Caenorhabditis elegans: one gene and its partner. The protein of the gene in region 1 interacts with the protein of each later gene in a pairwise test. Each region holds a gene or a part of one and is shown on either strand. Other genes may lie near its edges.

Evidence for each region.
Region 2: the proteins of sdpn-1 (region 1) and F09F7.5 interact in a two-hybrid assay, tested with the Caenorhabditis elegans proteins (3 studies listed by BioGRID).

Annotation. Positions count from the first base shown.
Region 1 is NC_003284.9:7,994,824-8,000,106, forward strand, and holds the start of sdpn-1 (SH3 domain-containing protein), read right to left. Parts: upstream 3,273-5,283; coding exon 3,256-3,272; intron 1-3,255.
Region 2 is NC_003281.10:5,545,033-5,551,911, forward strand, and holds F09F7.5 (CRIB domain-containing protein), read left to right. Parts: upstream 1-2,077; 5' UTR 2,078-2,099; coding exon 2,100-2,185; intron 2,186-3,140; coding exon 3,141-3,227; intron 3,228-3,281; coding exon 3,282-3,345; intron 3,346-3,393; coding exon 3,394-3,563; intron 3,564-3,715; coding exon 3,716-3,799; intron 3,800-3,846; coding exon 3,847-4,852; intron 4,853-5,268; coding exon 5,269-5,418; intron 5,419-5,976; coding exon 5,977-6,081; 3' UTR 6,082-6,183; downstream 6,184-6,879. Other genes in the region: putative kinase-like protein D1044.1, read left to right, coding at 1-102, 426-620, 694-806, 948-1,194; F09F7.6 (Ferritin), read right to left, coding at 6,290-6,400.

The DNA of each region.
Region 1 (5,283 bases):
TGTTTGTGTTGGTGGGACATGTGGCTGAGAAATGCATATGGAACGACTTTGGAAGAAAAAAAACAATACAACCAAAGACTGAAATATAACTAAAACTGTAGGTAGGGAAAATTGAACTTCGGGAAAAACAGAAATTGTTTTTAAATTGTTTATTTATATGTAGAAAACATCTGAATGTGCACTACATTTGTCGTTTTCTTTTTTTTTGAATTTTTGACCTAAAATAATTCCCAAAACTGACACAAAAATATAATGTAGTGAGACAGTTTTGACATACGGGAAATATTTGTTATTTTTACAAGAATACAATTCTAGAACACAAAATTAAGTATAGCACCCTATGGCGAAATTTGAAAAAAAGTATTTGTTTTGATTTTGAAAAACAGGGAATCAAAATTTGAATTCAAAATTCCATACAGGAATATGAAACCTTGACAGCTGATTGGTGAAAAGAGTGAGTGAAAACCGAATAAAAACAAAAACATGTATTCATCCGTTGCTTAACGTAATTGAACAACGGACTTTTTGACCAATGTCCTAGAAGATTGCCTAACAAGTTACTAATGGCATACACTTGAAAGACCAACACTATCGGAAAATATGTACAAGTTAAAGCGACCAGAATCAGATTCCATTCTAACGCAACTTATTTGATAGATATGAAGACCTAGTTTTAGTTAGAAGGGGACCAGTGTCTGAACATTTTACGGAAGAATATGGAAGGAATGTGTTGTCCTCGAAATAGGCAGCCCGATCTCTCCTTTTTCGTCAATTTCTTCGGTTACTTTCTTGAAAAAGTGCACGCTGTATTAATAAACGCAGATTTTGCGAACGGATAAAGAATTTGCATAGGTCATACATATACAGATACACACTCACTCAATCGCATACACAATGTTCTAATAGAACATCGTAAAAAGGTGTGAGAAGTGGAGAAGGTGAGGTGAGACTAACAGTGAAACAGAAGGTGGATGTGATGAAGAAACGATGAAAAAGTCGTATGGGATTCTGTTTCACTCCTTAAGCAGAAGAAAAAGAGGAAGCTTCATCTAATCCAACCGAAATGAATGATTTAAATGAAATTAACCGGTTTTCAAGGTTCCAGGGAAGATAAAAGTGCCCCGCCAGGAAGAGAGTACTGATATGAATTATTATGGGAATTCTGGTGACAGTGACATCATTATCAGGAGTTGGGCAGTTGGAACGTAGTCAATGTTGTTTGTTTTTTTTCTTGTAAATATAACATTTTTTTGTAAACAAAACAAGTTATTATTAGTGTCATTTAAAACATTGAGCTAACTTTAAATTCGAACAGTCTACATGATGACTGTGAACAATAAAAGAAAACACTGTTCAGGGTTAACGAGAATTCCTAAAAGTAAAAATTTCCAACAAAAAAAGTGGTTTTTGAAGATCTACGGATTTTGAAGCAATGTTTTATCAAAAAATGTTCCCGTTTTAAACTCAAAGCGTTTCAAACATGCATTCATGGCTTTTTTCATAAAAATTACTGGCGAAATATAGTTTTTAAAATTTTAATTTCTCAGCTTTGAGAATGATTAATTAGGACTTGCTGGTTTTTGGCTATGTACGGTGTAAGGAGGATTAAGTTCTTAGGGAAATAAAATGCAAAAAATCTACAACAGATATTTAAAAAAAAAAAGAAAAAAACTATAATTTAAAATTCTGACAACGACTAATTCTCAAAAAAATGTATAAATATGAATTTGTGAAAAAAAACGCTTTTTTCCTTAACATTTTTACAAGGAATAGGGAGTCTTAAAAATTTTCAATTTAAAAATTAAAAACTAAAATCTAATTTTTATAGATATAACACTTTTTTTAAACAAGAACGAAACACAACTTTCAAAAACAAAAATTACGTGTAGTTTCAAACTAAACAAATATATAAATTTTCGCGTACTTCTCGAAATATGATGTTAATCGCATAAAACACGACTCAAATTACTTACTTCTAATTAGCAACTTTGTAAAGCTATTCATTTCTGTGGGAAAAATCTCAAAATAGAAACACATACGACAATAGTGGATAACAGGGTTGTGATTACCTTAATTGTGAGTACTACTCCGTTCGGAAGGACTTAGAAACAAGAAATGAATAGAAGTTGATTGAGCGAAGGGATGCCAAGTGGACATGTAAAGGATATTCGCTTCTTATGTATTCTTAGTGGTTCGTTTGCCTAATTTGCAAAACACGTGCGGCTCAAACAGGCATTGCTAGTGAGTCACATATCTAACATGTTTTCAAATGAAAATGAGAAATTTCAAAATGGAACATAAACGAGTATCATAAATCAATAGGCGCCAAGTAGCGGGGCATGGTTTGAAAATGTTGAATGGTGATGGTGGAGAAATGGGTGGTGGAAATGGTTAGAGAGTACGAGACGTAGGCGAAATAGCTACACCGTGATGAGAGGTGAACTGCCAGCTGGTGCACAGATTCGATGGTTTATTATGTTAGTTTGCTTTCTTGCCTGTTGATATTATCCTAAGCAACAAGATGATCCGTTAATACTTGTTTTTTCATGATTGATATGGAATTGCATCAATTAAAATGTAGTCAGGTTGATGAACAAGTCGAAAAAAAAAGTTAAAAACATCATAGGAAGAGTCTATAGGAAGAAAAATTACAAACTAGTACTGCTGTAAACTTAAGCTTGCAAGCAAAAAATTGCAAATTCTGAGGGCTTTTAAAACATTCGTAACTTGCCTTGAGTAGCATCTTACTTGGTTGTTTTTTTTAATAGACATAGGTAATTTTCGAGGTGAGATATTTCTGACAATTACAAATGCGGCAATCGAAGTTTTGTCAATTGGCGAAAAGATTTTAAAACAGCAATGTCTGAACATTTCTGGAGATTTCAAAACGTATAAACGTATTTTGTAGTAAAATATTCGCTTTTCAAGCTTGATGTGTCTTGAATTGATAGGTATTTGACGGAACTTTAAAAATGAACAATTATGTCAAGGTTAAATGTTAAACTGTTTGAAATATGACTGAGGTTGAAAACTGCCGAAAATTCTGACAGTCAACTATGTATATGGGGAATTTCGAAAATCTTCACCCTTGCTTTTAGGTAGGTTTACTCGAAACATTTTTTTATGATAGATTTCTTGTGAAAAAAAACGTATGTGTTTGATTAAAAATTCAATATTATTCGGATACTTATTGAAAGTAAAAACACAATTAATATTTTTGATTAACAGAAACATTAACAGGCAAAATCTACTCACCATGGTAAACAGCTCATGTTTTAATAGATCGACGATTCGAGTGAAATAGACGAATGGAGCAACAGAACACGGGAAGTCAAGAGAAAATAGTTGGGAAAGAGTGAGAAACGTGATCAAAAAGTCTTTAAATGTACACTGTCAATAACTGATTAGGCGAGTGAGAAAGTGTGTGTTGGCGGGCAAACTCAAAGGTGTGGGGCAATATTGTTTGAGCGGTTGTTCAACTAACAAATATACATGGACTTTAAAAAAAAATACAGAGAATTGGAAAAATAGCTTTAAAAGGGAGGAGTTTTGAAAGTACTGATAGTTTTGAGTTTGCTGGAAACATTGTTTTAAAATAAATTAAATTTAGAAAACATAAAAATTAACGGTTCCTAAGAAAAGTCTCAAAGTTGCACAGCGTTAAACATATATTAGAAGTATTCATAGAAATTTCAAGCCACTTTCTATCTGTGAATCACTTTCAGCAAGATCAAGACTTAGGAGGATATCCAGCACAATCAAATGGTACTCTCCTTATTATTCGTAATTCACTTTTGATAGTTTCAATGAAAGGAAAGTGAAGTGAAAGTCAATGGTTTTCGGAAGCAAAGTGTTTGAAGTATCTAAGAGCTTCCAGGTGGAAACGCGAATGCCTTTTTTGTGACGGATGAGTAATTGTGAAACGCAGACTACTCACGGAAACACGATACATGGCGATGGCATTGGAAGAGGGCGAACGGTAAGAAAAAAAAGATGCAAAAAGAGGTGAAAACTAGACATTTTCAATATGCTGGATTGAATTCCTATCCTCACTTTGTTACCACTTGGCAGCTGAGATGCCAATGACTTTGCTTCCTTTTTCCTTCACCCCCCCCCCCCCCCCCCCGAGGACATAGGTAGCAGGCAATTATAGAAGACGAAAACATGGGTGATGATGATGATGACGATAATGATGGACGGATAGAGGGTGAAGGACAATAATAAGACGCAGAGATATAGGAGAGTGGAGTGAAAGAGCACGACTGTATAAATATGAGCTCAAGAGCAGTTTATGTGCTGGAGCATGACGAGCTCTTTCGAAAAGAACGCAACACCCTCTCCACGTTTTCGGCAGAAAAGAGTGACAGAAACAAAGAGAACGGTCATAAGCACGAGGTAACTGTTTTTACATGGGATCAGCGTTTGCACGTTGGTACGGATTACAGTTGGTACAACTGAAGATCAACACGTTCCGATGAACAATTGATCATCTAAGAAGGTTCAATAGAACAATACAATGCGGTGGTGTTGGGCAAGGGAATATATAATCAAGTGAGAAAACATTTAGGTGATCTGGCAAATTTGACTGCATTTGAAAAATGATACTTTGTAAAGAACTTATCCTAATATTTTTGTTTAACAACGCCGCAACATGCAAGCGTTTTCTTTGCTGAATGGAATTTTGTTTATAATACTTTCTGCACTTTTTTTTTTGAAATTCGTATCTTAAACTGGAATTGTAGTTTTTAGCCAGTTTATTTTGAAGGAAGTGCCTAATCTGCAATGTAAAGACAATTTTTTCGTGATTCATCATGAGTTGTGTCAGCATAAATATTTGTATTACAGCAGAAAAAGCAAAAAACCTGAGCAAACTCAGATTGTTTGGTTTTTATGTTGATCAACTTTCACAGAAATTTAATTAGATAATAGGTTAAAGAACGCACTCCTGAAAATCTGAAGATTCTCTTTTTCCCATTTGTACTGTACTAGTCTTTTTTTTCGAGATAACATCTGAAAGAAGGCGTCTGCTAAACGATTGTAATGGTGTGACGATTTAGGTTTTTTGGGTGAGTAGTTACCATCTTCAGACTTCCATCGACCAATTTAAAATTGAAAGTTGGTTTCAAACTGAAAAAAAAACTGGAGGAAAAACTAGATATTAGAAATAGTTCTTGAAATGTTTTCTGGCAATGAAAAATAGGGTTTTTGATTGAACTTGAACGTTTTTTTTTTTGAAAGAAGTTAGAAGTTGCAACAATTTACAAATAGCTATGCTGCTGTAAG
Region 2 (6,879 bases), on another chromosome or scaffold:
GCTCTTGCTCATTTTCATGCGAAAATTATTGAGATAAGTGATGAGATTCCATGGAAGAATTATGAAAATGTGCTTTATGATGCGGCCTATATCAGGATGTTGGTGAGTTTTGAGCGGTAGGGAGGCAGGCACGAGATATTCAAATAGGCCTGAAAATGTGCCTGTCTGCCAGTGAAGCCCTAGGTATAGTAAGAAATAAAAAAAAAAGAGTATATTGCAATCGATTGCAATCTGGGCACATCTTTTCAAATTTCGAATTTAAAATTGGGCACATCTCTTTGATGGCCGCGAAAATTGGTGGCCGAATATTTTTGGAACTTATTGGAAATTGACTTTTCACAACAACCCGTAAATATGGTGTATGGTGTTTTGCTTACCTGAAAACCAGAGCGGCTCTTTCTCACGCTTCAGAATCAAAATTCCAGCACAACGACACCCTTGATTTTGAAAAGTTATGCCCGGCGGAGCTCTCCGGAAGAATTCAAGAAGTTAAGCATGCTTTTGATGAAGATGGAGTTAGAAATTCCGAAAAGAAAAACGAAAAACTTGGAATGCCATTGGTGATATGTCATAATGATTTGAACGCGTCAAATGTTCTATGGAATAATGAAACTGGAAAGGTAGAGTTGTCCAAGAGGACTACGTGTCATAGAATATAAAATTACTCCTAATAATAAAATTGAATAATTTCAGATCCAGGCATTTATCGATTTCCAGCACGTGTCAAAGGGTCCCGTCTCCTTTGATATTATTCGTATTTTGTGCCTTGGATTGTCAGTGGAAAATCGAAGAGCAAATACTCAAAGGTATCTTTTTCTAAGTCTAAACATTTTCAATAACCGAAAGAAGTAAAAATTGAAATGGCCCGCTTTTTGGCCGAGATTTGAAAATCGGGTTCGGAGATATAAAACACATTTCAAAACAAAGAGTCAGTTTCCATTTTCCAGATACCTGAACCACTACTATACGACCTTCAAATCTCATTTTTCCACGGCTCCCTTCACTTTCTCCCAACTCGAAGAATCCTATCGAACTCACTTCAATTTTGTGAATGCCACGTCACTATTCAGTCTGTCGTATTACTACAAAATGTATAAGGATGAGAGTTTGGATTTGAAAAGTGGAGCTGACGAAAGGGAACACAAAGCTCAGGAGATTTTGAGACGGACTATCGGAATTTTGGATGATATGTAATAGAAGAATATTTTTTAAAGATTTTTATATTATACATTAAAACAAATAAACTACTACTAATATTTGGAATTTTTTAAATTTTGATGATGAACAAAGTTGCTTAAAACATTATTTCAAATATGACAACACATTTTAAATTCTTTACGAAACAAAAATAATCCTAGTAAATCTTCGGTAATACATTAAAAACATCAAAGGTTTCGTAAATCAATGTTAAACAAATTGCGAAATATCGTCCGACTTGCAGTCAAACACTAGAGTATACATATACATAATACCCTTCCGTAACCCGGTTTTTAGCCTCAAGAGATTACTCATCAGATCGACACATGTTTTCTTTTTTCACTTCAACATGCTGCGTCTCTTGTCAATTTGATCTGAGTAATCTATGGGAGATCAGCAAGAACAATTTGCTATTTGCTAGAAATTGATAACACTTTTTGAAATATTTGAAAGGTAGTTTCTATGCTAGATTTTTCTATGTTAATCTGAATTTTAACATTTTTCAATTGATTTTATGCAGTACCTGAAAGTGGTCAAAATTTTGGAGCCATCGAACGACGCTTCAATATTCCGCCATGCTACAAAACTCAAGATTCCTTACAAGCGTCTTTGGGCGGAGCTTGAGCACGGGTGTCATTGGAGCTTCAAACTTCTTGGCTTCCAATTCCAAATGAATCATTCTTTCAACACATCACCTCCTTCTCAATAATTCCTTATCACTACTCTTTTTCCAACTGCTTACACGTTTTTATCGGTTATTTCTCTATTCCCCTTTCTCTCTCAGTTACTCCGGGTGTCTGTTCTCCACAGTTTTTGCAACAACTTGCGTGGTTTGACCATTGATTTTTTTTGCCTCTTGTTACTTTATTCTTGATTTAAGACAGGAACCGGGTTTATGGAAAATGCCCAACGACTTGCCGTTGCTGCCTCCGAAGAATCAGCACAAACACTTGGATAAAACTATGATCTCACTGCCGTCGGATTTCAGGTAAGGAATAAAAGTTGAGGATGTTATGTTAATCCGTACATTCGAATTGGAATGTATCTGCAAATTCGTTCTTGAAGAACATTAGTAGGTTAGCTTCAAGCGGGATTATGACATGTCGACGTTTTAGGCCCGAGAAAGAAGCGGAGTTCTTGCACTCTCCCCTCCCCCACACTCTCTAACCAACCCATTTTTACAGTGTAATAACTTTCATCAAGATTTAGCCAATAGCTGATTGATTGTGCTGATTGTGCTTTTTTTAATTGATATAACATTTAGAAATGAGGAACATTTAGAAACATGAACAGTTTATTCAAAAATATTAGGCTTACAACACTCTACACTTATCTCATTACAACATTCTTTTATTATCATATTGACATCCATAGACTGAAATTCCAAGTTTTAGAAATCAGAAACCTTGGAAACAAAACTTACCATTTTGCTAGGTAATTTAGCTGACACAGCTGGAACCGCCAACAATTCAGTCATGAAAATAATCAGTGATAGAAACAATAATGCAAAACTAGCATACATGTCAACTATGAATATTAAGTTTAAAATTGTTATGTAGTACCTAATCACACGTGGACTAGCAACAATTGATAAAACATTGTTATATATTATAGGTACCAAGCGTTAAATCTTACACTATGGGCTATTGTCGTAAAAAATAAAATAAAATAATACAAATCACGTTACCTGAAATTTTTTAAATTCTCAATTTTTTCGCAATTCGCCATTTTAATTGTTTAAAAAGATATGAGAGGAGGAGAGTTAAGACACTCAGCTTCTCTGTACTCTCCCGTGCCTCCATACGTCTAAAACTTACAATTTTCATACGAATTAGTTTCTTACAATTAGTAGATTCGGAGACGAATTAGTTACATTCGTATTAGTTTTACTCATTGTGTTTTAGGTTTTAAACAATCTATCATAGTCAATTTTTATATTACAGGCATTTGGCTCATGTCGGTCCAATGGGATCATCGGAAATTGAAAATCTTCGGACGAGCGATAATGTGATTGATACGGTTAATGAAAGGTTTGTGATCTACAAGCATTACTTGAATTCAATGTGGATGAATAAAGAATTCAGCAGCTACTACATAAGACCCTCCTCGTCGAATAGTACACTCCGATCGCAGAGAAAAGAAAAAGATGTAGGGAACTATTTAATTACTTTTCTCCAAAAAAGTTCAACTTTTCAGAGAGTTGGACTAGATGATGCTTTCCCATCAGCTTCAAAAAGTGAAGAAGAGGTTGAAGTTGTCAGAGGTTACGAGAATCAACCAACATCCCACCAATACATAAATATTGCTCCACCACGTCCGAGCAAGAAAAATTATAAGGCTCCAGCTCCCCCTACTCCTCCTCCACAGTGAGTATTTGTATGACATTTTCTAACAACACAGTTTTTGAATTAGTTTTTTACCTCAATTCCAAGAAGTACTTCCTTTAGAATTAAGTTTCTTACTGGCGCTTTCAAATTTGACAACTGAATCAAAAGTTGGTTGAGAATTAAACTTTCAGGAACAGCAAGCCGAATTTGATCTTCAACGCCCAAGACGACGAGGAGGAAACATCAGAAATCTCAGAGCAACCTGTAGTTTTTCGGTATTTCTTGATTGGACCCTGAAGTTTAAAAATTTTTCAATTTTCAGGTCAATCTCCCACACTTCGAATATCTCAACACACATAGCTCCACCTCCAAAAATCCAAACCGCCGACCGAATCGTTGCACCGAAGCCTAACTCTCTGGTGATCGAAAGACCGGGTGATCTTGGTGGTGCTTTTAGTTTCGGTCTCGATGATTGCATTCCAATTGTTAAAAGTACACCACCTCTCAATACACTTTCTCCGTTGCATCGGCCTTTGGCAATCCCGAAGAATCAGGAGGAGACACCGATATTGAGTCCGGCGAGTCCGCCGGATGACTCGAATTATATGTCAACTATTCGGAGCACATCCGTTCAAGGGAGAAAGATCTTGGATGAGCTTGACGATTGGTTGGATGACCTGGATGATCTCGATAGGGATCAATTATCCACAATCAGTACTGACGAATCGGGTTATCCGACGCTTGCACTAGAAAAAGATCGGGCTTTTATGAAGCATTTGGTGGAGAAGTATGAGTTGGGGGTAGCTCCAGAGACAATTAGACTTCGGAAGAAAAAAGGACCGGCTCCAAAAGCTCCAAGCCTCCCTCCAGACCTCTCCTCTCCAACATTCCAAGCTCCAGGATTTATTCCTGCGTTCTCCGCTCGGCCTGTGAGTATGCCTCCCAACCGACCACCTCCCTCATATGAAGCTCCAAGCTTTGATGCTCCCGAAGCTCCTGGTACAGTATTAATCAATGGAAGAGCCTTGACAAAGCAAAATGCGCTAGACCTCCGCTCAAGTGACGAAAGTGGAGTACCTCCTGCAATTGCCAGGTTCTTATATGATAAGAGGATCAAGTCAGCAACAATGCCAATGTCCATCGGAAGAATGACGTCTTCATCTGGGAACACGGATGTTTCCACTACCTCGTCAAGATCAAATGCAGATACTGTGTCAAGTATTCTGTCGACGGTTGGGGAGGATGATGATGTGGAAGTTCTGAAAAGGGATCGGGAAGTTGAAGAAGAGTTTGTACCGCCCGTGCCAAAGCCGAGGAGCAGAAAGACGGTAAGCTTTCTTGTGTGATCCACAAGATCAGTTATGTAGGTGCAACATTAAGAGAGGAATTACGGAATTAAAGTATTACTTTCAACTTTTGAATCATATTTCTGACCATTTGATGAGTCACCATAAAATAGATATTTGTGAATCTGAATGAGAGGGGGGGGGGGCAAAAGTTTCAAGAACGGGTGCTCCTGAACCTAAACGATATTTGCTCCAATTACTTGGATCTAGTCGTACTCACGATTTTCACAGTTATTCTCACATTTTCGAAAGCAAATCAGTTCCGCTACCCTTTGACCTGATTCTATAATTTATTCTCTCCCCTCTAGAACAAATATAAATCTATTTAAATGAAACCGATACAAACATCAAAAAGTCAACAATCACCAATGTTCTTCTTCATTTGTTTTTCTTCGCAGGTCTCAACGGAACCGTTAAAAGAAGAAGAAGAAGAAAATGTCGAAGAGGAGATAAAGGGCGAAAACGTGATTGGGGAGGAGTTTCAAGTGGTGGGAGATACAAAAATAAATGATGAACAAGAAGATCGGGTGGAAGCGACAAAAGACAAGGTAACTAGTAGTGATAAAAGATCAATCGCCAAGATAAGCTTATTGGAATTTGAAATAGTTTGCTAATTACCCCTAGTTTCCAATTTTTCCGAGAAAGTACTTTTGTTGATTGGAACTGCCATTCATAGGATCACAAGGTGATCGAAAACAAAAAGAAGCAGCTGACTACTTGCGAATTTCCAGTAGAAATAGATTTAGAGAAGCAAGAAATTCGAGAAATTCTTTAGACAAAATTTTTCTTTGGAATGGTGGGTCATGGGTCCGCACGTACCCAAGTTTCTCTCTGAGACTGAGCAAAATGTATAAGTGGGCTCTCAATACAATTTTCTGTCATAGGTACGTGCAGACATTTTTAAGCAAACGATCGATCAAACCAAGTAATGAGCAAAAATAGTGCTAATAGGTTAAGATTTCCTACGAGGCAGGTTGCATACCCTAGCAGATATTTCTAAATAGATTTTGTACCAAATATCATTAACTGGGGAGCCTTCAGTAGTTGTCCTATTTCCTGGCACTTGTTAATTTTCAAAAAATTATTCAAATTCCCACTATTTTCAGATTAATGACGCTTTCATCATGCTTCCACCACCTTCAGCAGCCGCAATGATCCCATCAGATTCAGAATCCGAAGACGACGATAATTTCATTATTACTCGATTTTAAATTATTTGTTTTACTTAAATTCTTAACTAAACTCTAGTCAATTGTCTCTCTACATTCCAGTGCCAAACCACCATTCCATTAAAAATAAATTTCTCAAATAAAACCGATTCGATTTGCGAAAAAAGCAATATATTTTATTTTCATTTCTTCACAGCACAAAAAATAACAATTTGGAAGGTATGTACAGAATCCGTTTCGATCAAACGCGTCAATGGGAGGTTTCAAGCAACTTTTTCAGATGCTCCTCGGCGGCTTCCAGATCATCACGGAGATAACGGAGTTTTGCAGGGGTCACAAATTCCTCGTTGTATACGTTTTTCTGGAAAAGTAAAAGGGTTTAAAGGGTGGAATGGGATAATCTTTTGTGGCCTACACTATCTTTTTTAAGTTGTTAACTGATCTACAATCTCGAAAATTCCCCGTAAAACTGCAATTTTTGAGTAATATGTTCAGTTACAGCCTTTTGGAAACTCAAAATCCTAGTGCTTTGTCATTTGAATTTTGCATTTTGTCCAGCGTACAGAATAGTTTTTGCTAAGTAGTCGAGAAATTTTATAATTTGACGTTTCAGAGAAATTGAAAACTATTTTTTTCCGAAAACGGGCTTAACTATTGCAATTTTTTAAATTTGAGGTTGTGGAATAAAGTACTGTTTCCATCGCAACATAATTTGCGCGTAAAACATGGTGCATCGGGTCCGTGAATTGAAAAAGGAAAATTTTGTTTTTTCAAAAAATGTCGATGCACCATGTTCAATTCATAATTCAACTATGTATTTAAGGGTGCTAATGGACAATC